3 linked regions of the Drosophila melanogaster genome follow. Changing the gene in region 3 together with the main gene of any one other region gives a genetic interaction. Each region holds a gene or a part of one and is shown on either strand. Other genes may lie near its edges. The genes, in order: srl, capu and Ets97D.

Region 1 (12,914 bases), about 22 Mb from region 3:
GGATATAACATTAAACCACAGGTTTTAAAAGTTATAGGGGAGGTGGAATTTGTTAATCTTGCGTTTTCAAAATTCTGGTACTAAAACACTTTACCCTGGTGTGTTCTGTAAGCCGCCGGACCTGAAGTCCAAACATTTTGACCAGCGAATCAAACTCCTGCACGCGAAAGTCGACATGCTCCTGGGCGAACCACAAGATAAACTTCCTCCAGTTGACCATGTCGCTATTTTAATTAATGAATTGTTTATTTATATTCTAGAGCGACTTCATTACTCCTCGTGTTATTGCTGTGAGCTAGCGGAGTTGCACTGCGATTAGCTGACCATCGGCAACTATCGGCCTGAACTATCGATAACGCAGCCAGGTGTAGCCCTGCGTGCCGTCGACTCGGCCATTTTGCATTAATATTGCAGCCACACGTAGGCGAGCCGAAGATTTATACAATTTTCAGCAGCCCCAGGTCTCAAAACGCTCCAGACCTGCTATCAAAATCAACTTGAAGTGCCGCCGCAAGTAAGTAAAGCGATCGGAAATGGCCCGCTATACGCAACGTCCGGAAAACGCCCTAAAAAGGGCTAATGGTGAGTGCTGAAAATTTTCCATGCGGTGTCTGAAGAGAAACTTTCGTCTTCGCGAATCGTGTGCTCTCTTAACTCGACGCCGCTCTCTTCGTCACAGAGTTCATTGAAGTGGGAAAGCCGCTTAGGGCGCTGGACACGCTGCAGGAAGTTTTCCGGAACAAGCGATGGAACTATGCCTACTCGGAGACGGTCATCGAACCGCTCATGTTCAAGTACCTGTACCTCTGCGTGGAACTCAAGAAGTCGCACATCGCCAAGGAGGGACTATTCCAGTACCGGAACATGTTCCAGCTGGTGAACGTGAACTCTCTGGAAAATGTAATCCGCGGCTACCTGAAAATGGCCGAAGAGCACACAGAGGCTGCCCAAGCCCAGTCCTCGGCGGCCGTTGCTGTTCTGGAGCTGGATGACCTGGACAACATTGCCACGCCAGAGAGCATCCTAATGAGCGCAGTGTGTGGCGAGGACGCACAGGACCGCTCCGACCGCACTATTCTGCTCCCGTGGGTCAAGTTCCTGTGGGAGTCCTACTGCCAGTGTCTAGAGCTGCTGCGCGTAAACACGCATTGCGAGGCGCTGTACCACGATATCGCTCGCATGGCCTTCCAGTTCTGCCTTAAGTACAACCGCAAGAGCGAGTTTCGCCGCTTGTGCGACAAGCTGCGCAAACACTTGGAGGACATTTGCAAGAGCAGCAACCAGACCACCGGTGTCTCGATCAACAAGGTGGAAACGCAGCAGCTCTGCTTGGACACCAGGTTGTACCTTCTTGACTCGGCCATCCAGATGGAGCTGTGGCAAGAGGCCTACAAGGCAATCGAGGATATCCATGGCCTGATGGCTCTGTCCAAGAAGACACCCGTGCCCAAAACCATGGCCAACTACTACCAAAAATTAGCCATGGTCTTTAGCAAGGCCGGCAACCAGTTGTTCCACGCTGCAGCGCTGCTGAAGCTCTTCCAGCTGACGCGCGAGCTGAAGAAGAACCTGACGAAGGACGACTTGCAGCGTATGGCTGCCCACGTTCTCCTGGCCACTCTTTCTATTCCGTTGCCTTCGGCCCATCCAGAGTTCGACAGGTTTATTGAGGCGGACAAGAGCCCCCTGGAGAAGGCGCAGAAGTTGGCCGTGCTTTTGGGCCTGCCCCAGCCACCTACTCGCGTCTCCCTTATTCGTGAAGTGGTAAGTATCACGCAATATAGTAATGACTTATGACTAATTCATAAACACAGGTGCGCTTGAATGTTCCTCAACTCGTATCTGAGGACTTTCGCAATCTATACAACTGGTTGGAGGTGGATTTCAACCCACTGAATCTGTGCAAGCGCATTCAGTCTATCGTGGACTTCATTGAGAACGGGCCCGAAAACGCTCTGCTCACTCCTTACATTCAATCGCTGAAGGACGTGACTATAATGCGTCTGATTCGTCAGATCTCTCAGGTTTATGAGAGTATTAAGTTCCAGCGTCTCTTGCAGCTGGCCAGTTTTTGCAACATTTTTGAATTGGAAAAACTGCTGGTCGAGTCCGTGCGTCACAATGACATGCAGATTCGTATTGACCACCAGAAGAACAGTATCTATTTCGGCACTGATCTGACCGAGAGTCAACGCGAGTACCGCCCCGACGGACCCGCTTTGCAATCGATGCCCTCGGAACAGATCCGCTCTCAGTTGGTTAATATGTCTACTGTTCTGACACGGGCAGTTTCAATCGTCTACCCGAACCGTGAACGTGACCAGCGGGCCAAGCTCCGCAACCAGATGGTAAACCATTACCATGAGATCAAGGATCGCGAGCACCAGCGTATTCTTCAGCGACAGAAGATCATCGAGGACAGAAAGGAGTACATCGAGAAGCAGAATAATGCTCGTGAAGAGGAAGAGGCGCGGCGTCAGGAGGAGGAATCGCGGAAGGCCAAACTGGCCGAACAGAAGCGCCTCGAGCAGGAGCAAGAAGAAAGAGAGCGCAAGCGCCATCAGAACGAAATCCAAGCCATCCGGGAGAAGAGTCTCAAGGAGAAGGTTCAGCAAATCTCGCAGACGGCTCATGGTAAGAAGATGCTTTCCAAGCTGGATGAGGAAGGCATTAAGAAGTTGGACGCCGAGCAGATCGCCAAGCGGGAAAGCGAGGAACTTCAGCGCGAGGCCAAGGAACTGCAGTCGAAACTCAAATCGCAAGAGAAGAAAATCGACTACTTCGAACGCGCCAAGCGCCTGGAGGAGATACCGCTTTTCGAAAAATACTTGGCCGAAAAGCAGGTTAAGGACAAGGAGTTCTGGGAAGCAACCGAGAAGACACGCATCGAGAATGCCATTGCCGAACGGAAGGATGCCGTCGCCCAGCAGGAGCGTCTCAAGCGCATGTATCCGGACCGGGATGAATTCCTTGAGGCCCTTAAAAAAGAACGTGCCTCCCTCTACGTCGAAAAGCTCAAAAAGTTTGAGGCTGCTCTGGAGGCAGAGCGCAAAAAGCGCTTAGCCGACCGCATTATTCGACGCCGCGAGGAGCGCCGACAGGCCTTCCTTCGCGAGAAAGAGGAGGAGCGTCTTCGCAAGGAGGAAGAGATTCGCTTGGCACAGGCTGCCGAAGAGCGCGCCGCAGCAGAAGCCCGCCGTTTGGAGCGTGAGGCTGAGGACGAAAAGCGTCGTGCCCAATACGAAAAGCAGCGTGCCAAGGAGGAGGAAGCTGAGCGTAAAATCAAGGAAGATCGAGACCGCCTGTCCAGGGAGTTGGCCTCGGAGCGCGAACGCACTGAAAAGGACCGTGACACATGGCGTCCTCGAGGCGGTGACCGTCCAAGCGCATCTAACGGCGGATCCAGCGAGTGGCGTCGTGCTGCACCTGCGGCCAGTGAACGCAACGACCGTGGTGGCGAGCGTATCGAGCGCGGAGGAGAACGGATCGAGCGCGGTGGAGAACGCCTCGAGCGTGGTGGAGAGCGCATTGAACGAGGCGGTGACCGTGACCGCAAGGACAACGAGGGAGCGGACTCCTCTTGGCGTGTGCGACGAGAGCCAGATTCACAGCGTGCAGCTGCTCCCAAAGACAGTGGCGCTCCGCAATCGCGCGATGACAAGTGGCGGCGTGGCGGAGAACGTGACCGCGATTTCCGCATTGATGGGGCTCGTCGCGACAGGGATGATGGGCCTCGGCGTGACCGTGACGATGGTCCTCGCCGGGATCGTGACGATGAGCGCGGTGGATTCCGCCGCGCCGACGGGGCGCGTCGTACCGACGAGCCTCAGCGGGAAACTGGAGGGAACTGGCGCGACGCTCCACGCCACGCTGATCGGGAAACCCGTCGCCCAGCTGAGAGGCGCGACCGAGATGTGCGCGAGACTCGTGGCGATCAACGCGGCTCTGCTCCTAAGGAGGCAGCCAGTGGCGGAGTAGGCGGAAACTGGCGTACTGCTCCTGCGACCCGTGAGGAAAAACCAGCAGCTAAGCGCGATCAAGCCCAGGAAAAGGGTAAGTAATCTCAGCAGCAAACCTAATTTCCATTCTTATCAATGCGTTACATCTTTCAGAGAACAAAGCTGGCGATGATGGCGAGTGGACCAGCGTTAAGCGTCGTTAATTTTTATTTTCATCATCGTATATACCCAGCATAATATTCTTAATAAGTTTTTATTTCATCCGACTTGTACTTTATTGGTGTAGAGCTCAGTCGGCCGGTATATTATATCTATCTATCCAAAGCTTGTGCCAGATAGTTAAAATTGAGATGGTTGTAGGACCGATACTAATTAAAGTACTTTCGAATAAAATAACTATGTTCTAAAAAATTGAAAAGTGAAATTGTCGAATGAGAACCTTGGGAATCAAAGAAATGAAAAGTGGTTATTATTGGTTTAATTCAAAAATTCTAATTCTTATTTATCAGATTTCAGGATGAACCAAGCTTCCCTTATACGTACAGTGATTTATAAACCAGTCCCTTTAAATTTATATTTCGACAGAGCTAAAACTACATTAAAATGTAGTTTGCAAACTAAACAAATGCGGGTTCTTCTATAGTTTTACAAAGTTCGTTCTTGGAAGCGTGGCTTTTTAACATTAGGTTTTTTAATTGCCCATAAATAAAAAATGCATTCAAAAGTATTGTAAATTGTATTATCACATACGCTTGACTTATTTTAAAAAAGTGACATCTTTCTTAGGTAAAACCATATTCGTTGGGAATAAATTCGAGTAAATTTAGAAAAGCTTTTATAGCAAGCAAAACAAAAATATTCTGCCTCTGAAAATTTGCCTCGATAATATGAGCCCGCGCCTTCTTCGCACACTCAACTAGTATTTTCTTGCGAACTTGGCACTAATGCCATGGCCTCGCGGATCCTCCGCGGTGCGCGCCCCTGGTCACACTGTCTGTGCCGCTGCCGCGAATCTCGGTCCACGTGAACAAATTTTGGACAATGTGCTATACGGTACTCATGAGATAAAGTGATTGCGGGTTGCTTTGGAGTGCAGTGACGTTGGCCCATCTTAAACCGCGGGTGATCGTGATCTTCGGGCGGAACAGAAAGACGCAGTTTGACTGCCGCAAGAAAAAGCCCTTTTGGGCACCGGACTTGTGTGCTTGTGTTAGTGCTGCAGACGCGGCGCTCAACATGTGAGGTTAAAGCAGACGGCGGCAAAAATCCGAACGAACAAGCGTTCGGCTGGGGAAGCCCTTTTTCGAGTGAAATAGGTGATCCGGAACCACAACGGAAGCTCAGAAGGTAATATTGCTAGGCGCGTGCCACAGATTGGACATCGCGAATGCGATAGCGAATCCGCTGAGCTTTGGGGAGAAAGGCTTTCGAAACCAAAGTGCCAAGGTGATAGGCAAGACCTGCGAAACGTATTCATTCAACTCGATTGCTTTTCGCCAAGGAGTGCAGTATCAAAAGCACATGGCGTGGCGGCATTTACACGCACACGCGCCCATCGTGGCTCACATACACATACACGTGGTTGGGGCAAACATGTGCTGTTGCTGCTACTGCTGCTTCTTCTTTCCGCCATCGTCGTTGTGTGGGCATGTTTGTTATTGTTGTCGTTGGCTAAAACTATTGTGTTTTGTGTTCCAGGTCCATGTGTAGGTGATGCAGAGGCGCTGAAGATTGATTAAAATCATTTACACCCGTCAATCGTATAGTAGAGGGTATGTGACTGCTTCAATTTTCGAAATGTTAATTTTACCATTTAGGAAATCTTGGTATCTAGTGTCAAAAAACACCTTTCGTGCAGGCTTTCAATATTGCGGCCACAGTATTTACATCAATATATTGTAGATGGAACTTAAATTTAAAACTATTCAACTAAACTATAATAGTTTTAAGCAACAACTATCAGGAAAATATAAACATAATTTTGAATATATCGACAACCTTTCCCAGCCCAAAGAAAAAATCTTTGTAATGCAAAACATGAAGTTAAATTGTGCAATTCATGACATAGTTTTAGAGAAATCTTGTTTAAATGATTAAGTTAAGTCATTTATGACACGTGTTAAGGCTTTCTAAAGCTACATTTTTATTCCGGTTTCGGTATTTATTTACATTGTAATTTAATTTTAATGTCAATGCCTATGTTTAATTTTTACCCTGATGATGTGTCTCTGGCGGAGCTCGACGTTGTGCAAGTGTTGCATGCTTGTTATGCATTTTGTTGAGGATTCTTTTGCGGTCCATAGTCAGCTTAGCGAGTTGTTCCTCCACCTTATCCATCATTTCGGTTTGCAGATGTATACATGATTGGACACTAACGCCTCTGATCGCAAGTTGGCCGATGTGAAAAGACAACTGAGCATTGGTACCAGTTAGGACAAAGAAGCCTGTTATGCCAAAAATCCTAATAGGCGGTTTGGGATTTCTAGCTAGCTCAGAAGGCTTGAAGCATTTGACTTTAACTTCATTCTCCAGGTTATTGAAAACTGGTCGTGGCAACAGCAAATCTGCACCGTGATCAGGTTCCTTTTCCATCGGAATTGGGGATTTTGAACAGAGTAGGTTTCGTGTCGGCAGGACAGAGTGGAAGTGCGACTTAATTTGTTCGCAAAATTTGGACATCAATGGCACGCTGGAGTTTGGAGTTTTATTGGCCCCTTTATTGGTGTTCCTTGGAACCAGTGCAATAAATTTATTGTCCTTATCATATCCGGATGAAGTGGTATTTTGGAATTGTTCCGCGTCAAAAGCCTTCTTTTTTATTTCCGACAAGAAGGTTTTCTTGTGACTAGTTAATCGAATTTTTTGCAGAGCATCACACAGCTGAATTTTCTTTTCGGATTCGTGGATTGACTGTTCCAAAGACGGAGTTTTTTCCTTCTCATTCTTTCCATCTAAAGTCGTCTGGGACATACCTATATCTTTTTTCTTTGAGTATGTTTCCTTTGAGCTAGTTGAATTAGTCGAACGAGAGATTGGGGGAATCGGTATAACTTCTATTATCCTGGGCCAATTCTTCTGACTTGCTTCCTTTGTGGCCCTTAGCCGGGACTCTGCAGCTTTGCGTTGACGCCTTGTGATCACTTTTTTTGGCATTTCGTTTTTTTTTTTTATTATTATTTGGTTAACGGGAAGTGATTTTGTAAACTTGATTTTTCAATATGTTACAATCATATGACGATTGTGGATTGATATCGAAAAGGCAACTATGATTGGTTTCGTTTTTAGGAGTTCCCTATTTAATCCGAGTTTATTTGTTTACAGTTACTTAACTTTTGACGCAAAATGGATTCACGAATGCTAAATGTGTTCCAAGGAGATACCTTTGAGGCAAATTATACCAAATACGAGTCTGAGCCGATATTCTGGTCATCTAATGATGAGTGAGTGATTGTCATCAGAAAAATGTACTAAAAACTAATGCAAACCCTTTCAGACTGCAACTGACAGATACACTGAGCGGCATCCTACCCATCGCGCCCACAGACGAATCACTGCTCAACCATAACCGGGAGGAAGATCTGCAAAACAGAAAGAATCTGGTAGGTTTTGGCTCGAGGGGCATACGAGCGAATCACATTTCAGTATTAATTCGATTAACTCTTTAAATAGCTGATTTACAACGACTTTCTGAAACAGGAGCTCAGCAACCATGATGCCAATGAGCTAAATGCCCAGGTCTATCGGTCCATCGCCGACAGCGGGGGCGAGATTGCCTATGAGCAGCAGCGCCAGATCAGCGCCATTGTGGAGTACGACAAAGAAGATATTAAAATCGACGGCCTTACGGAGGAGGAGGACATACAAAGCCAGTCCACATTTCGCACCCGCACAGACAGCTCTTCGATTGGTGACTATGAATCGCACTCTAGCGACTATGATGATGAATTTGACATTGTCAACGAAGAAAAAAGTCCAAGGCTGCAGGTTGTCCATAACAATATCGGCAACTTGCAGAGCTCCTGTGAGCGCAAGGGACGGACGCTCAGTACTAACACTATTATCTCCGAAGTAGACGCATTGGGGCTAAGTATTGATGTTAATAACTTTGACCTAGCTGATTTTATTACCAAAGACGATTTTGCTGAGAATTTAAACGCCTGTCGCAAAAAGGAATCTCTGCAAGCACAGGCGCAAATTAAATCTAATACTTTAGCAGATGTTCCCATACTTCTTAATCCACCGGTTGCCACAATTGTGGCAAAACCCGGGGTCCCATCCTCTAAACCTGGCGATTCTGATTATGACTCTGACTCGATTATCGACGTTGAAACTGTCGATGTACTCGATATGAATATGGCCAATATCTGGTCAATAGATAAGCCGGCAAAAATGGGCCAAACTCCCGATGAATTACGCTATGTGGACAATGTAAAGGCCGATCCCTCTTGGAGTCCGAGATCCGCAAAAAAGACCACACCTACTATCAAAGAGGTAAGTCCTATGACGACATACTAGTTAAGAAATTCTTTATAACAGTAACTGTCATACTCAAAACAGAATAAGCCGGAACAACTGGGGAACCATCAGCTCGCGGTCCCAGCATCAAACAAACCGAAGCATAAGAATATTTGCCTGGTGCCTAATAAAAAACAGTGCGATTTTCTTAAACGTAAGGTTGGTAGTCCCTCCTTGTCCAAGCTAACTAAGGCGACAACAAAAAAAGCGACTGAGTCTATGAGCAACAAGCAGCCGTCAGTAAAAAATACTCAATGCACGGGTCTCGGATTGGGTGGAAAAAACCTTTCGCTTCTGAAGCAGGAGAGGGACGCCGCATTATCGGTGTGTGCTGCAAAACCTATAGCACCTCCAACCCTTTCGACAACAACCCCGACTTTGACACCGCCAGCAAAGCGAAAGCTAAATCTAGAGGAATATAAACAGCGTCGTTGTGGCGGTGTGGGGGCTGTGTATCCTAAACCAACTCCGCCCAAGCAGGCGAAAATAGAGGTTGCCGCCAAACGCATTGCTCCTACCCCGGTTTCAAAACCAACACCTTCACCAAAAAAAGCGGAAATAGTCAATATTGTAAACAGCCTTAAATGTCCTCGCACAGAACAATCTTCTTTGCCCATGGATCCCATTACCATGGCCAAGAACAAGGTGCTGCGTATGCTAGAGATGAAACGTGCCCAACAGCTAAAAATAATCGATTCCCGCGTATCAGCCAAGGTGCCACGCGTAACCAAGCTGCCGCCACTTAAGGATATTGTAAAGGACACCTACTGCATGGAAACTGAGGATCCTGGCACAGAGATAGCGCCACTCAGCAACAAACTCCACCCGGACTATGAGGAGATTATAATAGTTTCAGCTAGTTGCAATACAGACATAACAATACCTCCCAATCAATTAAGCAAGGCCTCCCCTCGCTCTCTCTTAAAGTCATCAGTTTTGCTGTACAACATCTCAAACGGCCAGGATGCCAATAAGAACATGAGCAACTCCCTAATAGCCAGCATCCAAAGCGAGGTCGCCAGGCAAACGAGTAACACTACTCTCTCGACGATACAGTCCAACGCAACAAAAGTTATGTCTTCCGCTGATAAGAATTGTCAGCATGGCGAGGACATGGTCATCATGCACTTACCCAAGGATCGGGTGCGAAAAACTCTTGTGAGCATTGCAACCCAAACTGATCTGCAACCCGAATTTCCCCTATTGACGCTGCCCCCAAAGCGACAGTCTCGAGAGCGTACGCGTCGAAATTATCGCAGGCGACGGACACAAGGCTCGGGCTCAAATATGTCCACTTCTTCGAGTGACTTTTCCTCCGACTGCAGCAGCTTGGTGTCACACAGATCTCGCTCACAATACGATTCGATTGATCAGCTGCGTAACTTAGATGTAGCAGCCACGTGTGGGGGCAGTATTGGAAACGGCGGTTATTCTTCTCGTAGCACTCAACGCCATCGCAGCTCGGTGAGTTCTTCATCTTACTCAGAGAATGGACAGTACAGGCGCAGGCAGCGCCGCACGAGTTACAACAAGCGTAGATCTAGAAACCAAAAGCGGGGCAGTACTTCCTCGTCATGCTCGGGCTCCGAAAAAAGCGATCGCGAACGTAGCCGCAGCCCACACAGAAAATTGCGCCACTCGCGGTCCCGGTCGCGCTCAAAATCTGATACACGCTACCCTAACAACAACTCCTCCTCCAATAACAACAATCGGCGAGGATTTTTTGATCGTAACGTGTCGCAACCGGCCGTTGAAGAGCGGCGAATCGTCTACGTCGGTCGCATTGAGCAAGAAACCACCAAGGAAATTCTGCGTCGTAAATTTCTGCCCTATGGAAGCATTAAACAAATAACAATACACTACAAGGAAAATGGGTAGGAAAAGAAAGGCCGCAAAACTATTTAAAAAAGACATTTAACGCATTTTATTTTAGAATGAAGTATGGGTTCGTTACGTACGAAAGAGCGCAGGACGCATTCACGGCCATTGACACGAGTCATAGAGACTCGCAAATAAGCATGTATGACATAAGTTTTGGAGGAAGACGTGCCTTCTGTCGTTCATCTTACGCTGACTTGGGTGAGTTTTTTTTTACTTTTTACATAATTTTATGTACGATTTTATCTAATTTGTCTTTTATAGATAATGCTGGCATTAATAATTACAACTCGTATGTGTTTCCCAAGGAAGCACCAGCACCGAATGTAGTCGAGGACTCTTTCGAAGCTTTGTTGCTTCAGGTAAAAGCAAAGTTAAACGCGGGCAAGTCACCGGTAGGTTCATCTACGCTGGAGGCACCATCAGCTTCCGGTACTGTACTTCAGGGCCACAGTCAGATGTGACATTTTGGCAGAAACCGGCTTAATTTCGTATTTTTAATTTTTAATTTTTTTGAGAATTTGAAGTATGTTACAAGCATTCTACCACTATCCTTGCACAAGTGTAGACCAATTTCCGAAGTCTCTATCTATAAACCTGAGAAGCCTGATTACAATTCTTAATTTATCTTAAAATAGTTGACAGAGCTATACAATGCAAGCAATAAAAACATTGCAATGTACATTAGGATAATTGTAATTACCGTGAAGGAAACCTAACAACAAGAATTGAAAAGAAAATGAAATTGTGATAACCGCGTAATGCATACAAAGTCATTTAAAGCACGTAAGTTAAAAGAAGATCAATAGAAATAAACACACTCATAAAAGCTTTGTAATAATCTATTTATGTAACAACCAAACCAATGGGACTTAAAACAACCAGCCGCCACAACAATAATAACAACTCAAATTCATTAAAACTATAAAATGTGTATAAGAACGTTGTATTTTGAGAGAGAGCAAGGAACGCGCATGCAGCATGCGTCGGCCACGAATTAAACTGTTGATAACTAAACTTTGATATTAGTTTGTAAAGAGCATATTTTGTACGTACTTTTAATTTACTCCGTAATTTTTGAATAGCAATTACATCAAATACAGAAGCTCCACTAAAGCTATTATAAATACATCAAAATATAGTTTTGAAATTATTAGTTAGGCTTCTTTCTCTTTTCAAATTTTATTCCGTAATTTCTAACAAGCACTGACTGACAAGCCTGTGTATCACTGTTACGATTTATTTGGACTAAGCTAAAATTATAAATTTAAAATAATATAATTAGTTTTTGAAAACAATTTGCCAAACAAGATTTTGAAAATGAATAGTTTAAAAACTATGGCCGAAACGTTGTGTTTTTAGGAACAGCCATCTCTTGTTTTTTATATTCTTTTGTACTTTTGGATAATTTAATAAATCATTTTTAGTTCGAAAACAAACCGAAATAAAATCAAACATTTTTTATTAATTGAATGATTTAGTAAGATGATGTAATGTAAGTACGCTGGCAAGACAAGAGTATACGAAATTCTCCAGACTATCGATCAGATACATTTTAATCCAAACGGTATTTTTCAAAATGTGTCCTGCCTTTTTAAAATAAAAAGATTTGCCATTTGAGTTATAACTCTGGCCTGTTTGCCTGTTAATACCAGGTATTTTCATATTTCACGGCTATCGTTTTGACCATTTCATTGTGTTATTTCTGTGTTTTGAAATTCTGTACTTAATTTAAATTAAAATTTTTAAAAGCGTCCTTAAAATTGGGTGGATATTAAATCATTGATTATATCTAAGCAGCTTAGGAAAAAGGCATAAAAAATCCGGGAATCATTGCTTAAATCCCATGCCCAATTGAATAAATTCAAAAACGCATTTTTTTTAAGTAAGCCATGTCAGGTTAGACTATGACTGTGTAAACTAGAGCTGTTCTCTGCTGAACTAGCAGGTTTTGCCAAAAGTGGTGAAAACAAAGTCCTATAATGAGCTGTTTAACAAATTTATTTCAGTACTGTAAAATATAATTTTGCTGCAGAGATACAATAAGGCGAACAAACCGAAAAAATATGCAATTTGAAAAGTCTGAGGTGGCAATCAATCCGCATTTTTATCAAGAATTATTTAATACTTTTACTTTAACTTTCTTTCTCCTAAACCATCTTAGTTGTTGTGTTAGCATCCAAGAGCGCTTCGTCACTACGTGGACTACCACATAGTGATACAAAAATAATAATAATAATAGACTGATAAACGAGCTTGTACCTTGAACCAAGCGTGTTTTGTCAAAGTCTGTGCTCGTTCTAGTGTAATGATTCGTGACCGTTGTTTTGTTCAATTCGGGTGTTTGAATCTAACCGACTCGCTGCTGGGAGGGCTTCGCCTTTTATTCATTCTTAAATAGGTTCTTATCATCTAATTATATAATGCAGCGCTTGTAAGACGCCGCAGTCTGCGTTGATAAATGCAGCTGAGTTTTATTCTTAAATCTATGTTTGAGGACTATGACCGCGCTAATCACCTCCCGCGAGGTAATGTAATATCTCTTGACACTTCGGCAATAGG
Region 2 (9,963 bases), on a different chromosome or scaffold from region 3:
TGGCCTGGCTCATAAAATGTTTATTAGGTAATCAAACATAACAACAAGCGGTCAAACATAAAGCTCAAACGACTGTGTCACATTTTGTGAAAGGAAACCGTGAAGCGTTAATTGAGTTTTGTGGGGGCTGGAGCGAGACATACTGAATGCGGGGAAAATCTGTGCGGAAAATGCATTGCGGCTTTTGCGATCAGATACATTTTCGCTCCGCGCAACGCCACCACGCATTCAGAATGCATCAGAAACGCATTCGAAAGTATTTTATTGTGTGCGAGACGCGCCAACGAGATTTTCCACAAACCACTTGACTCGGAAAATTCAGAAAATGTATTTATGCAAAAGTCGCAATTGTCAGAGGCAAGTCAAAGTGCATAAAGTGTCGCCTCGAATCGGCGAGAAAGGGGGAAAATATTTTCCCAAAAGTCTCGCACCTCGGCGGATGTGAAGTGTTTTGGCATTTGAAGCGAGTTTTCGAGATGGCAACGTTCAACACGCCTCAAGTCACACATAATATGGATGGATAGGATATAAAAGCATAGAATAGAATGCGGTTGAAATATGATGGAGGATACATAGAAATAAAATAAATACAACTGCATTCGGCCCATTCAGCAGCGCATTATGCTGATTGAATGCAAATGCAATACCAGCGAATTTCTATAAATATACATATAAATAAAAATATAATGCAACCAGCTCGTTTGACCCCAATCTAAAAATCCAAATGAAATAGCTGCATAAAAACTAAGCCCATCTCTTATTTTTTGCGCAAATTAATAGCTTAGTGGAACAGCCCCCGCTCACACACGCATTAATTAATTTAAATTGCATATTTCACCATTATTTATTAATGAGCTTAAATCGCACTAAACGCAAATCGATTTTTGCCTCTCTCATTGCAGCGGATATAATACAGGATTTGGCAAATTAAACTAATTGCCAGTTGAGAGACAACAAGAACAAGATAAAACAAAAAAAAAAAGGCAACCAAATACATTTCGACATAAGCATTTGAGTAAGTAAACATAACAAAAAATATATAGATAAAAACACAAGCAAATAATCATAAAATAAAATGAAATTTTTTAGCTGTTTAAGTGGCGTGAAAATTGCTTGCAATGCAAAATCAACATGCAAAATAAAAAATCCTTGCCTATTTCGACCAAAAAACAAGAAAGAGTTCTGTAAATTTAAAGAACCGAAAGAAATACGAAAGAGAATAGTAACTACAACTCCAATTAGGTTAAGAATTAAAAAAAGTAATTCACAAACCTAATAATTCCCAAAGGAAGTTTTTTAGCAAGAGAACAAATTCTCGTAAAAATCAATTTCTTCTTCAAATATGAGTATTGACTTTTAAAAATTTATAGACTTCAAACATTTTATGTTCAAACATGGGTACATTTGTAATAGATAGTGTTCAAGCGAAAATCGAATGCAGTTTTCTGATTCAGCCCACGTTATTTTGCTCACTGCTTATTCTATTTATTTAAAAATAATAATACTTTTTCAAAACTGTGGCCAAAATATTGAGGTTCATGGCGACAAACTGCAAAACTACCGCCATAATATTCTGGTCAAATCATTGTTAAACCGACAGCCAAACACAAAAGCCACCTTTGAGGTTTCTATGCATTTTTTTTTTTAAATATGGAAATTGTTCTCGTTTAAATCAAATAAAAGAGACAAAATGTTCATTTAATTGCTTTTCCGCCCAGTCAGCCCAAAATGCAAAATAAACATGACCAATAAAAATCAAACTTCGACACAATGCGAAAAAGGGGAAAGGTTGGCAAAAGTTTTTCGACTCCTCATTAGCTTTTGTCTCCATTGGGGCATTAAATTGGAACGAATATTTGTTTGCTCGGTTCGACTAATTGCGCTGCTAATTTCAATTGTTCGCATTGTCGGCAAGCAATAATAATGCAAAAATTGTAATTACAAATTAACAATTGGTCGTCTGGGTCCCTCGGTGACCTAAAATTAGATTGTGTAAATTTGCAAATTAATTTGCCATTGCACAAAGAGCTCCGTGCAATTCAGCTCGGCAAAATCAGAGCACACAATATCAATTTATTTACTGTGCAATCTGTAAATAGTAGAACATGGAGTCATTAAATTGCAACTGCTAAAAAAAAAACTTGAAAATTTAGTACTGCCAGTCAAAAGTCCAAGTGAGTTGCATTTACATAAAAATAGGCTAACAAAAAAAATATCTACACAGCGTCATACAAGACCGCAAAAATATGGAAATTCAAATAGAAACAGTATCTTTTAGCAAAAAGAGAAAATCTTTAAAATAAAATCATAATAGCCGGCAAATGGAATAATCAACAGACATCAAAACGAATTCGAATTAAATTTTAAACTGCGGGAAGCTTAAAACCGATTTTGTAAACTACAACTGGGTGAAAAGTTCAATACAAATACTTTTATTTACTTTTCACCTTCATTTGTGAAAGGTGATTACCGAAAAATCATCAGCCAACTATAGCAAAACTTTCTCCCAACTTGCGGATGAAACAAAAATGATACAAATTCCTTTTTGCTTTCTTTTTTCGCTCTAAAATTATAAAATCGAAATGGGTTGTAAAAACAATCAGTTGTACAGAATTCTTTGCTTGCTTTCGATTGTTAGTAAAACCCTTGAGCACTCAGTGATATTGTAAAAATACACAAAATATTTAATTGCACAGCAAAGTATAAAAGAAGGGGGAATTATCTTTAATCCAATACTTGTTTAGCTCTGTTATGAAATATTTGAGTAATAAATCCACATAATTGATACTTTTAACAAACAAAATAAAAACGTAATATGTGAGCATTAAAAATGAAAAATGTATCAGTATTTTATTTGAATAATTGCAAGCGGAAGCAAGGAATTTAGTAAAATAAAATAATTTCGTTTTTGAATGAAGGTTACATAAATTTCTCTTAGCGATAAAAACTATTTAATGGATATTAAAGATTTAAGGACATTGTAAATAGATAAACAGAGTAAACCAAAGAGTTTAGAAATTTAATTTGAAATAAATGTGTTTAAAACATAATCGAAAATATTTATTAGAATAGTGAATAATATCTGCATTTTTATGAATGGGTTACTGTGGCGTTGAGTAAGATACATCTATAAATGGTATTTCTTATTTAATTAATGATCTTACTTTTAACTATGTATAATAAAAAAATAGTTTTAAAAATAGTTAAGGAGTTTTATTTAGTCCCCGAACAAACTCAGACCACCCACGCATTTTTCAAGTATCCACCTAGATATAAACAAAGATGTACTGGTAATCCAAAACCAAATATGATCAAAATAGCCAATAACTTTAGTCTAAGTCTGCGACTATATTAAACTGTCCATTTTCGTTCTATAATTTTTACTCAAACTAAATGTAAACTATTAAATCTGCTTTTAAAAAAAAAAAGAACCGAGAGAACAGAAATGTTCACGCCAGGCGATTGAAACATTTTACTGACCTTTTTAGTGCGAAACCAAAAGTTTAAACTAATTTTAATTGTAAACCTAGACAGTAATGATATACGATATATTATACAATGTAAATCAGAATATACGATAATTATAAAGTAAATAAAATGAAATTTAAAACAAGCAGTTCGTCTACACCGTTCAATTGGGTTAGGCATACAAAATTCTGTCAAAATTTGTGTAATTTTTCGTTTCCTTTTTTTTGTTGTATATCGTTTTGGTAAGATGATTGTGTATCCAATGGAAGAGCTCTATCCGGCTATGATGGTCATAGCCATCACATTGTTAGCCCTTCTGCAATGGGGTATTCGTGCCACAATTAAGCCCAAAATATTGGGCCCACAGAAAAACGCAATAAAAAATGGAGTAAACAACAAAAGGAGGAAAGTCCTCTCCGCCATGCAGGTAAATTGAAAAATGTTTGCAATTGTTTTTACCATCTATCTATGCTCTTTTTGCGGTGCGCACAATTAAGGTGGAAAAATGTAGATCGACTGTCAGATATTCTTACAGAAACTGAATATATTTTGCCTATCTGAGCATTAAACAACAATGACCATTAATGATTTATCAGATTTAAAGACCAGTATATATGTATAATATATAATTAATAATCTTCATATATATTATTTTTAATTACTACAACTTAGGCACAACACTAGTATTTTTAACAATCATTGCACTTAACAGATTTTTGTTTTGATTTTAAAAAGTGTATTCAATTATTTCGCAACTTTAAAACTCAATTTTTGTGGAATTTTATTTTTTGACTGCTTGGCAACTCTGACCACCAATGCGTGCCTGTGTGTGTGTTGCTTGTCAGTCTGCGTGTGTGTGTGAGTTTGCGCTGCTGGCAAACCGCAAAATGGTGACATTGTGCAAATAAAAAACAATTTACGATAAACATCAAATTTCCACAAATTACCTTATATTTTACGTGAGTTGCGAAACAGATTGTAAAACGCGAAAACACACACAAACCGAGGGAAAAGTGAAAAAAAAGAAAACCGCGATTCGCAGATTTTACACTGCAATGAACATTTTGTTTCACTGTTCACCATTGTTTGCCAAGTGTGGAATAGGGGCGAGAGGTTTGGAAACTTGGGGGCGTGGCTAAGAGAGGTGCCACTTTAAGCGTGCCGCATGCCCCCACCTGAATCTCGAATTTTGCAATTATTTTTATTGCTCGCCATTTTGCTCGTCTGATGTTTTCCACGTTTTTTTTTTTCACCCCCCAGCTGCAACCTGACGGGGGTTGGGGAATGTGTTTGGGGGCAGAATAGAGGTCGTAGGCCATTTCGAGGGCCCTTCATAAATTTCCACAGTGCGGAAGAAGGAAAAAAAATTATTCTTTATATGAGGGAAATAAATAAAAAAATGCTTGTTAAGCTGCGGCGCTGTATGTTTGCGCATAAAAAGCATACAAATTATGCAGGCACTGTAAGAGATTAAAAACTAAATAAAAATAAGTGTGAAAAATTGCTTCCTAAATATATAACGAGAAACCCTTTTCAATCTTAAATAGTATCATTGATCAAACTTTTCAATCGCACCTTTATCAACACCTCAGATTTTCAGAGCAAAAGAGATTTGCAGCCATCTTGACATTTGTCGGCCAGTATGAGGCGCCACTTTCCCACGATTTTCCATTTCGAAGAGCTCATTCCTGCCCCCTAATTGATGTCGCCAGGTGTCGTCGAACCACATAAACAGGGCTCAACGGCAAAAAAAAAAGAAATCCAGAACAGCCAGTTCACTGGCCGCATTGTGCGCCAGAGGGCCAATAATTAGGAGTGTCTTTAAGATGGGTCTAAAAAATGATAAGAGGGCTGGAAAGCAGATAGCGACATGACCAACTCAAATAGGCAGCGGGGAAACTTGGCCTAGACTGTGTTGACTTGCTGGCCAATGTAATTAGGGAGCATTAGGATTAGACCGACTGTTCCCAAGCAGCGGATAACAAAGCACTGCACAGAGAGAAGATAATTAGGTCTAATTTGTACTATTAAATATACTTCTTTAAAGGTATTAAATAAAAATTCTACTTAGCTCGTGGGAATATCAGAAATTAAATGCCAAGTAGTTGTTAGAAAAATATTGAATAATCCTGAGAAACATACTTCTGATTTTCAGTGCAAACGCAATAAGCCAACTAAAACTTGGCCAACGGCAAGTTGGAGAGAAGGAGCAGAAAATGTGGTAAACTTTTTGCTGTTTTGGCGTAAACAAAAATAAATCAATTTCTTGGTGCGCACAATTGTTAAGATAGTAGATAGGACAGAGTCCATAACGACAGGACCGAACAACAGGATAAGTCCGCAGAGTCATGTCAATGGCCGGCGGCTTTCGAGAAATGGAAATTTCGAAAGACGCCAGGCATTTTTCCTTAGATTCTTTTGCAAATATTCCAAATTCAACGGAAAGTGGAATAATATTTGCACGACTTGCGTATGTAAAGCCACTTATACCTGGGACCATGCTGATTGCATTTGGAAGTATTTTCAGGTGCCTGTGGCAAATTTAAATATTCAAGTGACCTTTAAGAAGAAGTTTTTATAAACAAAAACAATTTAAACATTTCTTCTTGGCACAACTCATATACAGAGTTCCGTGGATTTCCGTGGCATCGCCGATAATTATTTCTTGAAACATGCTAGAATTCAATTTCTAAAACTCCAATCAAATTACCAATATACACGTCTCGAACAGAAACCTAATTTGAATGCCAGCGAAGCGGGTGAAATGTAGTTAACTTTCAGTCGATTTAGTTTGGTTTCGAGCTCCCTTCAATAACCCTTGTTCTAAGCTCCAAGTCCCCCATACCGTCACCATTAGTTCTTATTCCCCGGGTTCTTGTCGCTATTTCTGCTGTTCCTGCTGTTGCATCGCATTCTCATTGACAAGTTTAATTGATGGGCGTCAGCGTCAGCTTTTGGCTTCAGCTCGACGGAGTTTGGGGAAAAGGCCATGGCCAAGACACCATCCCGCATACCCCACTTTGCCCATCACACTCTGACCCCCGTTGTACAGTACACCCTCGATTACCGGAATGGCGACGCGACAAAACCGCAGAATCTAATTTGGCACAAACCACCAAAGCAATTAAAGTTGCAGCTCTGCAAACGGTGTCCGATGCGAATGTTCCCCAACTGTCTATCTGTCTCTGTCTTTCCCTCGGCGCGTTTGTGTGTGTGTGTGTGTGTGTGTGTGTGCGAAGGTATCGGTGTGGGTGAGTCCCTGTGTCGGTGAGGTGTCACTGCTATATGAATCGCGATAGCAATCCAGAAAATATCACACTTTTGACCATTATGCGGCTTAAAAATGAAAACTCAACAGAATCAGTAACTAAAGATTGTTTTATGAATAAATACTTTTAGAATTGTTCTTTGAAACTTGTTCTGATTTTTGTATCTTTAACCACGCACCACACTCACCGTTTTCAAAATGGTTTTTCACAGTTGAAATTAACTAGAGGCAAATAAAAATTAGACCCATTTGTATCTACAAAACGTGCAAAATGTGTTGTCACTGCAACCAGAATTCATTTGGGGTACCTGTCTCTGGCATTTTTGGGGTAATATGTGGTTGTGGTGGCTGCTGGATTGGGTGGCACGGCTATAATTTAAAATAATTTTCATTTTGTCGCAGCACGCACATTTTTTTGGTCAAAAAATAATTTTTCGAGACCCCCAAAAGTGGTTTGTGCAAAATTGAGGTTGCATTGCTCATTTTTCGAGATACATACAAATTATGTTTGGAAGTCAATTTTGAAGTGAACCAGCATTCCTGCTGCAGTGTACATTTTTGGCCTATGTTGTAGATACTTATTATTCAATAAATGGTTATTTATTCAGAAATATTCATTTTGTTCTTTTAGTACTGAATATGCGTTGTTCAAATTTTCTATTCATTCTGAATATACCGCCTGTTCTGGTTAACAACCAACGTTGCTAACCGCTTTTGACCAATTCCGTGCAATTCCACGCTGTCATCTTTGAGGCAACAGCCGCTGCTGCCCTGTAGGCCGAGGCCCCAATCGTATCGCAAAAATAGATACACCGCAAAAAGTGTATACAATTAAGATTCTTGATTGCAAAGCAAAAACGATATACGATATAAAATATCTTATTCACTTCAAAAATCGTTGATTAGATAGGAAATAAATAAAGCGTGTTATTGGCAAGCATGAAGTTGAAATGTTGTAGCAATCTAAAATGCCACCTATTTTTTTCGGTGTACCCTCATCACAGCAGCCGAATCGCTATTGCTGGCGCTTTCTCATAGTCGCATTGCTTTTTATTGACCATAACTGACTTTGTCGTAGCATCTGGGTTAAGACTGGGCAAACGAGGAGCGTTTTAGGTGCCCCTGTAGCGTGCTGCATGCTCCGGCCAGCTGATGGTTGTTGTTGCCATTGAATCTATTTGTGCTTGAATCAGACGTTGTTCATACGCCCTGTTGCGGCGACATTTTGCGCACTGCCAGAAAGCGCAGTTAGTGCAACATAGTTGTGTTCACTGCACCTGCGAATGGGTGACAGTGGCGCACAAAAGGGGGTGATTCTGTTTACACATTCTCATCAAACTAAAGGCAACACAGCTTCTACAAGAGAAAGAGTTTTGAAAACCAAGAACATATAGAACTGATCTATTCTTATTCGAATATACAACTTATCTTGGGCTCTGAAAATATTTATGCTGGCTATGGCACCGCCCCTGGTTCTTTTGAATTTGTGGGCTGCTTCGCCAGAAGCTTTACGTTGCCCTTTGGCATTAAACTTGTGCGTCAGTGGCACAAGTTGCCGTCAAGTTTAGCTTTGATGATTCTCTTACCTGCAACTCCTGTCTTTGTCGACTTTTTCCGGATCCTTCAGTTTGTATCTTTTGTTGGCGCCGTATGCGAGTGTATCTGTGTGTCCCCGGCGTCTGGCAATTTGTCAAACAATGTGTCAAAATGCATTCCCAGGGCCTCCGCCCTGGAAGATGTCGTGTAAAATTAATTAAAATCCAAGCCAGTACCAAAACCCCAGATCCAAGTTGCAACATTGCGAGAAGCGAACTTTGCGCGGCACATTTTCCATTCCCCAACATGCATTAGGTCCAATTAAATTGGGAAATCTTTCAGGAGCTAATTAAAAAGGCTGTTCCATAGCTGTGATTCTCACTTCGCAACTGAGTCGGCTAATGAGTTACGAAATGCATAAATCTAATCCGATTGCGAGAACGTGACCCCTACAAAGAATGTCCAGTTGTCATTCGGTCCATTCGTCCATTTGTCCGTTTGTCCATCCGAAAGTCGGCTTCTTATCAGATCAATAAACGGCTTATCAGCTATGTGAAACGTACAAAGGAATTGTATGGAACACGACAAAACCCTAGATACCAATAGATTTCAAAATTTTATATTTATATATTTTTCTTAAATAAATAAATATATATGTGTTCAATTATTTCCTTGAAATTCAGTGAGTTAATTAGTTGTGTTAAAAATAAATAGTGCTAAATGTATAGTTTGAAGTTTGTGTGTTATAGGTTCAACATTTTTTTCTGGTGCACCTACTCGTGCATCATCAATCAATTCAATTCACACACAAGCTCATGACCCAAAAAAACCAACAAGAATGTGCGAAAAGTCACAAAAATTAGCGTTCCAACAAAAAAACTACTATTTAAGTGCGCTAACCACCTATATACCTATAGTTATTCGTATAACATTTTTTGCATCGCTTTGGATACATTTTTTAAGCTCTAAAGATACAGTGAAATATCATTTAAAATGTGACATCATCGTTAGAGAAGTGGAAACTCTTACTCGTTAAATCCCCCCCTTAATCATTAATCTAAGTTGAAACATTTTATTGTCGCATTAATAGAATTGTGGTTTTATGTACGCAAGGTACGTTTATTCGCACTGCCCAAAGGTTAAAAAGAGAAAAGCGAACCAAAAATGGGAGAGGTGGGCTCGATAAGCATGGCTACACTGCAAGATATTTATATATACATTATTATTTTTAATAGGCTTATACAGCTGTAGATGAAATAATGACAATTATATCTGTTATAAAAGCTTTGTCCATTTTTTTTTTTAATTGTTAAATATTTACACAGCCGGTTTTTCTCCGTGTAGTCGATGCTCAATTTCCCCACAGTAGCCTGCCCGGACAGTCTCATAAAATCACAATTGCAATTGCTCGGGGACCAGTCGCATTTGTGTTTGTGCAGCTCCACTGTTTTATATTCGTTGATTGTGCCAGACAATGACTCATGGCAGGCTGATATCGTAACCCCAAAATAAAATCCCCAATTCCCTGCAATGCTAATGAGACGATGGATTTGATTGGTCTACTTTAAAGACAATCATCTACATCGGTATTTCCCAAAAACTGATATAACCAGTGAATAATTGAGGGAGTGACTGAACCTCCCAAATATGTAAATACAATATCACTATGTGATGTAATGCAAATTATTCAT
Region 3 (9,736 bases):
AAAATGTATCATTTTGATCTGTGGTAAAACATCAAACAGCGTGTCAACACGACATTATGAAAATATGATATTATTCATACAAAACATCAATAAAAATGGCACTCGACATTTTTCATTCCCAAGAGAATGAAAATTAAATATATTTTCTAAGATTTTTATTTTATTATTATTTTATAAGATCTCCACAGGAAATTGAAAGTTTGGAAAGGAATTAGATTAGTAGATTAGCAAATGGCCAAACAAGTGGTGTCCGTTGCCAGCCGCCAAGCCTCTGATGAGCAATGGTGGTGCAGGTTTGGACACCCACGCCACTTGGGGCACCAGCAACCCAAAGAACCAAAGAGCCACCCACGTGCCACTTTTAAGCGCCGGCTAAGAGAGAGAGCCTGCTGCCACTTGTTCGGCGTTGCATGGAAATGGAAAACACTCTCGTGCTGTTGCAACACGGAAAAGCGAAAAATGCTGCCGGCGAACAAGAGAAAGAGAGAGCACAGGAAATTTCCCAGCTGTTTCATGTGGCGGGGCGGTGGGTTCATTTCACAGGAGGTGAAAAGTTCAAGCACTGCAGCAGGCAACGTCCTTGGGAATTCCAGCTGCTGTGGAGCACTCGGAACCGGCATTGCATTCGGCCGAAGGACATCTTTCGCAGCAAAATCAATATCTGCCCGGGTCACTTCGGATTCTGGATTGCCAACTTTCACATGTTACCAAAAAATTCGAAATCAATTCAAACGATTGCCAAACTCACCTCGTTTGATTTTTCCACTTGGCTGGCACAACACAATTCGTGGGCTTTTCCTACAGCTTGCTGTGCATTTTTCAGATTTTTCAAGCAAATGATTTTTTTCCAAAATGAAACAAGAAATTGTAGCATTATTATTATGTGTTTTTTTTTTTTTTTGGTTATATGCATTTGATTATATGCAACTTTGCAACGTTGCCCGTTACACTTTGATTGCTGATAGCGTGCATTTGGTGAGTGCGTGTGTGCTTTTGATTTGGATTTGGATTTGTTATTTTGCTTTTGATTAGAGCGAAGGGAAAACGAATGCAAATCGATGGAAACCGACTATTGTTGTTCGGCCGCCAGGGGCAATGTCACGCAGCTAAATTTGTGCTGTGTTTTATTTATTTTCGTTACATATTTGAAATTTAGACCGCCGGTCTTTTGTTCGACCGTTTTGGCTATGAAAGAAGTTGAATTTTTAGTGTGTGTGTTTTTTTTTTTTTTGTTCATGTCTGGCTAACTAGTTTTCAGCCAACGCTGAAATTGTGTTCTAAATGGCAAACAAAACGCCCACACAACAAATTCCGCCCACTTTGTGGTAGTTGCAAAAAGGCAACAAAAGCGCACACGCACGCTCTCAAAGATAACAGCAAAAAAGTAACAAAACTTGCGTACTTAATCAAATAAGCGTTATAGCAATCGCTTTTGGCCAGAAACAAAACTCGCGAGCGGTCGGCACTTTTATTGTTTCTGATATTTTGGCAACACCCGCGCTCCGAAAAAGTAAAACCGTCGCGTTTCAATTGCGCCACAAGACTGTCGTTCAATATTGAAAGCGATGCGAGTTAAGGCACCCAGCCAGCTGACAGCGAACATGTTCGAGTTCGAAAGCAACCGCTGCCGTTCCGGTGCGAACAGTCGAACTTCGAACACTCGAAATAAATTCAATTTAAAGATTCTAAACATTTGTAAAATCATAAAAAATGGATTACAAAGCTTATTGCCTCAATGGAGGGTTACTATTTCAAACAAAAATGTCAATGTATGTGATTTTAGGCATACATGTCCATCTTTATTTTTATTTATATTTTTAAAAACTCTTTATACTTTGAGCACTTAATGTTTTTGAGTGCATAGTGCTCAATGCCAACCTATATTAGTGTGTATTTTTTTTGCTAAGTAAATCATAGCACATGCTTATAAAGGATATAACTGGCTAAAAGTATAAATCTACATCTATAATATTCTTTATTATCAATCAAAAGGAATTTTACAAGTTATTCACAAACGAGGATGGAAAAGTACTTGAAAAGTACAATGATACAAGAGAAAGATAATAAATATCCGCGAATAAGATACAATGACTCAGATGGGTTATCCGCAATTGAAAGCAAATCATTTGAACAAGTGTTGGCTACCATAATTTGGTCAGTGGTGGTGACACAATCGCAGAATATTAATGAATCCCAAATGCAGAAGTGACTCAATCAACGAACGGTGGATTTATAATATCGGAAATAGCCAAAAGATGATAGATAGCCCATTTAGAAGACCACAACCATGTCCTGTTTCTTGAGCAACCACTTAAACGGTTCATCAATAACGTGACTGCACTGCCCTCAACTGGCCAATAAATAATGCAGACTTGTTTCGAAAAACCAATAGCAAACTAGTTCATATCCTGCCCCCAATTCGAGCGAAGGTTTCTAGGTGCAGACCAAAAAAAAAGGCACCATAACTCACTCGAAAAAAAAACCAATTAATTAAAAACCAGAAATTATGAAACGAAGAGCAAGAAAGCTGAAACGAAAACGCCGACCGCCTTTGAAATGTCCTTGCAGCAATAGCAATAGCGATAGCGATAGCAATCCTTAGACGACCCAAATACTGGCCATTCAGTATGGGCCACGGAAATGCAAATTCTCCAAGTCCCGGGCTCTGGTGCTCCACTTTGGTGCTCAGCGTGGGAGTTGTCCCTATTGATTTAATTCTAGCCATCCAGTGACGCAATTCCGTGGAGTTGAACGCTCGGCGGACAAATAATCCAGAGGCGAAAACCCCAAGGGGTTGTTTTCCTTTATTTTTCTTGTTTTTTTTTTTTTGTGTTTTTATTTCGACGGTTCTTGGCAGCCGAATATATGGGAATTTCTGGCAGTCAAAGGCGCCACAATGACTGCGCATAGTTTTATGTACGCTAACGGTTTTGAGTGAGTTTTCCACGTTGTCATTGGGCTGGTTTCGTTCATCTGTTTGTTGCCCCATTGCAGCTGGGTGTCATGACCTAGACAATTTTCGGTCTGCATAGATTTCTATCTGCCAGAAGGTCAATGCGGCGTATACTTAACGTGCAATGAGATAAGTCCTCATTAGCATATAATGAGTAATAAGGGTTTGTGTGGTGAGAAAGAAAGATAGAAATTTCACTACCACTCACATCTAATAATATCCAAATGAGACGACTTTGACAATGACTCAACTTCAAATGGCTGGAAAGTACGCAAAATGAAACCAAAAAAAAAACTGACCTGAAGCGCCTGAATTTGACCAGCTGGCTAATATTAGTCAACAGCTTGGCAAGTAAACAAAGCAGAGTTAGTCCCCAAATAAAACAAAATCCGCACTCTGGCTTGTTAGTTTCCCTCGTTTTCGGACACGAAACGGAAAGGGGAAAATGAAGTTGCAAGGTTGCACAATATGGGGATGATGATGTGCCAGAACATTCGTGGCAGACATTGAATCACTTATAGCTAATACCGAAATCAAAATCAAACATTGTCATCAGCAAGATATTCGCAAGCAAATATCGTTCATCTACTATGCCAACTGAGTCAACAGCATGAGGTAATGCTCCCAACTCCGGACTATTCAGGCCGGGAGCCGTCTTTGTCCATATCTCGGTACATGGTACATGGAAAAACGCTTGTGTTAACAAGTACTCTGTGCACTTGAGGCTGTCCTCTGCTCCATAGCACAATTGGCATTCATTGTCCCGCCGTTTTGACCCACTGATCGTGTTACGGGGCATTTAATCAGCATTAGCTGAAAATGAGCAGCACTTGGCCACTTCACTTGCCTGTGGGAACACCCAAGTGCTTCCTAGTCAGGCCGACGCACAAACATGGCCAATTGTGTCGGCCAATTGAGTCTTGCAGCGAAAGAAAGTGGCGAAAAGATATCGCATGAAGAGCAAACCACTCAACCACAAGTGGGTGTCTTAAGCATCGACTTGTTGTTGCGAATTGAATTCCTCAATTAATTTCGATGGCATTTCTAGGAAATCACTTGAGGGGGCGAGCACACATTTTGTCACCAGATTGCTAATTTTTATAGATCGTTAGGCTCAAAATATTAATAGCTGGTGATGAAAGAAATTTTTGATCAATGAATTTCCACACAGGAAAAGGGAACTTGAAAATAGTTCAAAACTGGCAAAATATTTGCCAGTAAAAACTATAACAAAATCATGTATTCTTTTAAAACTAAATAACAATTGATGTTTTTCTTTAAATATATATGATGCTATTAAGTTTTTTCATCATTAAAGCAAATATTGTATTTCAGACTTGCTAACTTACATTCATATTTACATTTTTTCGAAACTTTTATCACTTTTAAAAGAACCGCCAGAGTTTTGAAATCTGATAGAATTGGTGGCAATACTGGCCAGTGACTATGCAGCCCTGTACCAACGCCACTTAGTATTATTCGGTATTGCCACACCCGACGTACACGGTCACACTGAAGATGCAACAATAAATCCACGAGACAAATTTGTTAAAAACATTTTGTTAATATAGGCAGTTATTTGCGATTTTAAGCCGCGATGAACAGCAGCAATGACTTGTCGGACGAGCTAATACGCCGCCTCAGCGTTGGCGGTGCCCTGGGTAAGTGGAATGATGCCATTTCCCAATTGGGACGCACCTGTTGTTACACCGAATTATTAATTGTAAACAATTTGCAGAAGAAGTGATTGCCAGCGAAATGTTCGAGGATAGCATCGATGTGGAGACGGAGGCGGAGCCGGACGACATCATCATCGTGCACATGGACATCCGGGAGCCGCTCAGCATGCTCAAGTGAGTCTGGCGAAGACTGGCCCCCATTAGTCATGCAAATAACCCTCATTTCTACCCACAGATCACTTGTTGAGCAAAAGATAGGAGTGTGCCTGAATTACTACACGTTTTGGCTGCAGGACGCGCAGGAGGTGAGTCTATCTGCGGCGTAATAAAATGTTTACCTAAGCCCCCACTCTCCTGCAGCTGGAATCGCACAAGAATCTCGTGGACCAATGCGTCAAGGGAGAAGGCCTGGTCCAGATCAACGTGCAGATACAAACTATTCGCAAGCGCATTAACATCGCCGACGTCCTGAAGCCCACGGAGGCCGCACTGGCTGCCTTGGCCGAGGAGGTGGTGGGCCAGCTCTCGCCGCCGGAAACGGCCAGCCAGAAGAGTTCCTCCAGCGAAAGCCCCATCAAAACCCCACTCAAGCGCATGCACAAGGAAGACTCCGAAGAGGAATCCGTCGAGGGCAAGGATGTCAAGCCAGTCTTGAATTGGGTCCTGGACAGCAAGTTTAAGCGAGAACAAATACGCCTGAAGATACCCGAGGCGGCCAACGAATGGACACACGCACACGTGACGTACTGGCTGGAGTGGGCCGTCAAGCAGTTCGAACTAGTTGGCATCAACATGAGCGACTGGCAAATGAATGGCCAGGAACTCTGCGCAATGACGCACGAGGAATTCAATCAGAAGCTGCCCCGTGATCCAGGCAACATCTTCTGGACCCACCTCCAGCTGCTAAAAGAATGTAATTTCGTGTCCGTAGTGCACAAACGAGCGGAGGAGCAGCGTAAGCCCAAGCAACCAAGAATCATGTCGGCCAATTCCATATCGACCAATTCAGGGGGCAGCCTTTCGCTTGAACAGCGGATTATGCGGAAATCCTATCAGTCAGTCAAGAGCTCTGATTGTAAGTAGACGTGTGAATGTTACACCAAAGCATGAGCTAACAATATCTACTTCGTTCACAGCCGTTGAAAGTACTACGTCATCCATGAATCCATCAAACTACACTACCATCGGTTCCGGGAATAATGGACAAGTGCAGCTATGGCAGTTCCTACTCGAAATACTCACCGACTGCGAGCACACGGACGTTATTGAGTGGGTGGGCACCGAGGGAGAATTTAAGCTCACTGACCCGGATCGAGTGGCACGCCTTTGGGGCGAGAAGAAAAACAAACCCGCTATGAACTACGAAAAGCTATCAAGGGCTCTCCGCTACTATTACGATGGGGATATGATCTCCAAGGTGTCCGGCAAGCGATTCGCATACAAATTTGACTGCGATTTGAAGCTATTGATCGGCTATGATGCGAATGAGCTATCCACGCTGGTCAGCGAGGGGAAAACGGCGCCCGAGCGCGTAGCCGCAACGGAAACAATTACAGAAGACACGTGACATGGCGAGCTGAAGCTCAAGGAGGAACCCGACATACTCTGGAAGTACGAGGAGCCTTAGCGTTGGCTGACTTGGTCGGATGACGGCGCCTGGTTAATAATACAAATTGTTACATATTTTACAATCCTAAGGCACACGATTTTATTATCCATTTCGTATTCGCTAAGGTTTATAATCTCTGTCTACATAAGCTATAGCTATAAGTATCGCGTTTATACTGCTAATCATCTTAGTTATTATCTGAATAGTATTTCTATAGTGTGTATATTGAATATTGTTCGTTACATGATTGTTGCGATTTTTGTAAAATCCATAAAACTAAATTCATTTCCACGCGATTTCCATTTGCATTTGCATTAGCTCCTTCTCCTCGGCATCGTTGTGTGTTGATGGTTTTGTTTGTGATTTTACGTGACTAGTTTGCTTGCTTAACTGATCTAACTAAGCTCTAAGCGTGGGCATTTAGCGGCTCCGGCTAAACGGCCTCCCAGTTAGCTTGTCGAAGTCGATGATGGCCTGTCGGAATGTGCACGCAAATGCTCCATTCCCCCAGCTGAACTGGCGCTAGACTCGAACGGCTAGCGCCGCCAGCCGGGGTAATACTTAGTTTGCATTAAGTTTTGAGTATGAGTTTTGTGATGCGGTTACAGCTCCGTGGTGATCTCGTCCTGCGGTCGAAAGCCCAGCTTGTAGAACTCGTCCTCCAGCCACAGCGAGCTGGCGTTGAGATCAGAGATGAGATTGCCGCTCTTCAGCGTGTTGAAACTGCTGCCGAAAGGATCCGAAGCCCGCGGCTCCTCGAACTCGTGCAGGCTGATCAGCGAGCCAAACAGGTGTAGCTTCTGCTGCGCCGAGGCACTGCTGCTCCGATCGCCGGCCATCAGTTCGCCCACTCCCTGCGGCGTCGCCGTGGGCGTCACCTGTTGCCGGAAGATGCTGGGCTGCTGCAGTTGCTTCTTCTTGTTCGGCGCAGCGTAGAGCACCTCGTGGTGGCCAGCACTGTGACCGTGTGAGGCCTGAAAGAAGTCGATAAGCTGGCCCACCTGCGGCTTGTAACGCTCCAGGGCCTGCTCCGACCAGGCATAAAGCCTGGACCAATCTGGCGGCGGGGCGGGAATCAGTTCAATGGGCCTGTTTAGCAGAATCAGCAGCTTTGCCAGATCCCGGACGATGGGCCTGTACGAGTTGGCAGCCGCCACTTCACCCGACAAATAGAGCTTCCTGATCTGCCGCCGGGTATCGTTCAGCATGGCCAGAAAGTACTCCGCATTCGGACGCATCTCGTTTAGCTGCCTCATGAAGTCCGCCCGATCCATGGTGTTCTCGTTGATGAGCTTCTGTTTGATGGACTTTCGCCGCCTCTTCCTCTTGACCAGCATCACGGCGACAGCCAGAAGGGACAGGCAAACGAGGAAGCCACCGAGAAGTCCGGCCAGTGCGGCCATCAGTGGCCCAGAATAGCCGGTGGGTACACACACCCGACCCATGAACTCCGTGTGGGCGGACCACTGGTCCAAGTAGCCGGCGGGGCACTGATCCACGCACTGCCTCGTGTCCGTCACCAGGTACATTGGGCACTTGATGCAGCCCACCTTGTTGCAGCGCAGGCAGTGGGAACTCGTCGTCAGCGGGCAGCCTGGGGAAGAGAACGAAGCAAAGGGAACTGGGTTAGTCACTCTGTGGGTCATTATGGCTCCCTCAATTAGCGCTGATCAGCATAATTGTCCCCTCATTTGCATAGAAGCACACAAGTCACAGCACTCCCACAGGCAATTGTCCACGCTAATGCCGACGAATTAAATCATTCCCAGACTTTTCGGGAGGGTAATTCCCAAACTACACTAAGCAAACATTTCTAAGATTAGAGTCTGGTTATATTCCATAAATTTCCCCAATGAATTGGTATTCATAAAGCCAAGGAATAGAACACATATTCTACATTCTCATGAACTGCAATTTATGCCAGTCAATAAGACGACGATCCCTAGCGAAGCCAGAGCAATTGAACTCTAACTATGATGTCAAGATCCGTCCGCTCTGAACACATGACATATCTTAAACATCTTTGTTTGCCATAGATCTTCGCATAGCTCTGCTGGGGCTTTTGTGCCGTCGCTTGTTTCCCTACGAATTCAAGGTAACGTCAACAAACAGTGTTTGACTTTTGGCTGCCCAAACCCAAACAACATTAGCATATCACCACCCCCTGTCCGCCCTGAAAAAAGTGTTGGGCAAACAGAGGAGGAGATACATATACATATTCTAGGAAGACGACGAAAACTGGGAAAGTTCAACATGATAATACCAGCACAGGCTGATGCCAGCGGCGGCTTCGGCGGCTAAAACTTCGTCAAGATCAAAAGCTTGCCAAGCCGCCGCCAGTTTCTGTTGTCAACCGACCACGACAACGACGACGAAGACGAGGAGACGCACCGCGACTCCCAAACAGGCCAGAAGTTGCGTCTTATCTGAAGGAGCCCCTGCCCAATATATCTTGATACTGGATTGCCAAGGAAAACAATAACATCGCACCACGTACGCATCCAGATCCCGTCGGTCGGCCCATTGCAATGCACTTGGCGTCTGTCCAGGTGGTTCAGCATCGTCATCATCAATGGCATTAACTTGTTTATGCGCTAATCAGACACACACATCCCCCAGGCGGGAGTTGGAACTGCACTCCCATACCCCAGATCTGGCATGGATCTTGAATCTTGAATCTGGCATCTTCAATCCTGAGAGCTGTGCCCATGATCGCGACCATGGCAATGGCAATAGCAATGGCAATGGCATTGGCAATGGAAATGGCCAATTCCCAGGCAGAGGCGGATAATCAGATGTAATTCGTAATTGATATTGCTCAGTGGTCAGTTGGCCAGTGTTCTGTCTTTTGGTATTCCAGCTCGGGTCTCTGGGGACTGGGCGTGCAGTTGATCAATGATAATTGGTTATTAAATGGATGATTGCCTTTAGTCCGCCTGTCGTCGTCGCCGACTTACAATTCCAATTCGATGGGCGTGCATCTTCTTCAGGTGATCATGTAAATGTTCTGGAATTGCAGACTGCTGTGATCTTGAAGCGATATAAATAATGATATCGACTGGTTGGGCCCGTGGATAGACCCCAATGATACAGCCCATATATGGCAAATCAATTTGTCCATTGCTATGAGTTGAGTTCAAGCAATTCTCGAGGAGATCAGATCAAAGATAGAGAAGGCAGATGTGCCTATTTGCCGCATAAATCTCGGTAAATCTCAATACAATCGATTTTTAGTCGCCGCCATTCGAAGTTCGGTCTTAAATTATGCCATGATTAAACAATCTCATCAAATTCGACATTTATAATTCAGGACCAGCCCATCTTCGACCACGCCCAAACTTAAATTTCTCCTCACCTGCTGCAAAATGATCGACTAAATAAGTGGTTGTAGGCATTCGAGCAACCATAAAACTCCGATGATGACTACAACTATATTTACGTCCATCACCATGATCATGATCATCAGTTTCTGGTGTTTGGGAAAGGCAAAGAATT

What was found.
Region 1: of Ets97D (region 3) and srl, changing one enhances a phenotype caused by changing the other (phenotypic enhancement), as found in Drosophila melanogaster (one study listed by BioGRID).
Region 2: of Ets97D (region 3) and capu, changing one enhances a phenotype caused by changing the other (phenotypic enhancement), as found in Drosophila melanogaster (one study listed by BioGRID).

What each region holds. Positions count from the first base shown.
Region 1 is NT_033777.3:4,421,367-4,434,280, reverse strand, and holds srl (spargel), read left to right. Parts: upstream 1-4,945; 5' UTR 4,946-5,306; intron 5,307-5,657; exon of another isoform or gene 5,658-5,731; intron 5,732-6,080; exon of another isoform or gene 6,081-6,161; coding exon of another isoform or gene 6,162-7,112; exon of another isoform or gene 7,113-7,251; intron 7,252-7,280; 5' UTR 7,281-7,301; coding exon 7,302-7,399; intron 7,400-7,452; coding exon 7,453-7,558; intron 7,559-7,628; coding exon 7,629-8,450; intron 8,451-8,516; coding exon 8,517-10,348; intron 10,349-10,407; coding exon 10,408-10,553; intron 10,554-10,616; coding exon 10,617-10,816; 3' UTR 10,817-11,798; downstream 11,799-12,914. Other genes in the region: CG1074 (uncharacterized protein), read right to left, coding at 95-220; eIF3a (eukaryotic translation initiation factor 3 subunit a), read left to right, coding at 534-582, 680-1,764, 1,815-4,053, 4,113-4,162; CG31525 (uncharacterized protein), read right to left, coding at 6,162-7,112.
Region 2 is NT_033779.5:3,896,527-3,906,489, reverse strand, and holds the start of capu (cappuccino), read left to right. Parts: upstream 1-3,629; 5' UTR 3,630-3,895; intron 3,896-9,963. Other genes in the region: fred (friend of echinoid), read left to right, coding at 903-931. UniProt on the Drosophila melanogaster protein: Acts as an actin nucleation factor and promotes assembly of actin filaments together with spir. May play a role in intracellular vesicle transport along actin fibers, providing a novel link between actin cytoskeleton dynamics and intracellular transport.
Region 3 is NT_033777.3:26,907,575-26,917,310, reverse strand, and holds Ets97D (Ets at 97D), read left to right. Parts: upstream 1-4,424; 5' UTR 4,425-4,550; coding exon 4,551-4,614; intron 4,615-4,691; coding exon 4,692-4,806; intron 4,807-4,867; coding exon 4,868-4,937; intron 4,938-4,992; coding exon 4,993-5,707; intron 5,708-5,768; coding exon 5,769-6,199; coding exon of another isoform or gene 6,200-6,259; 3' UTR 6,260-6,536; downstream 6,537-9,736. Other genes in the region: T48 (transcript 48), read right to left, coding at 6,844-7,835.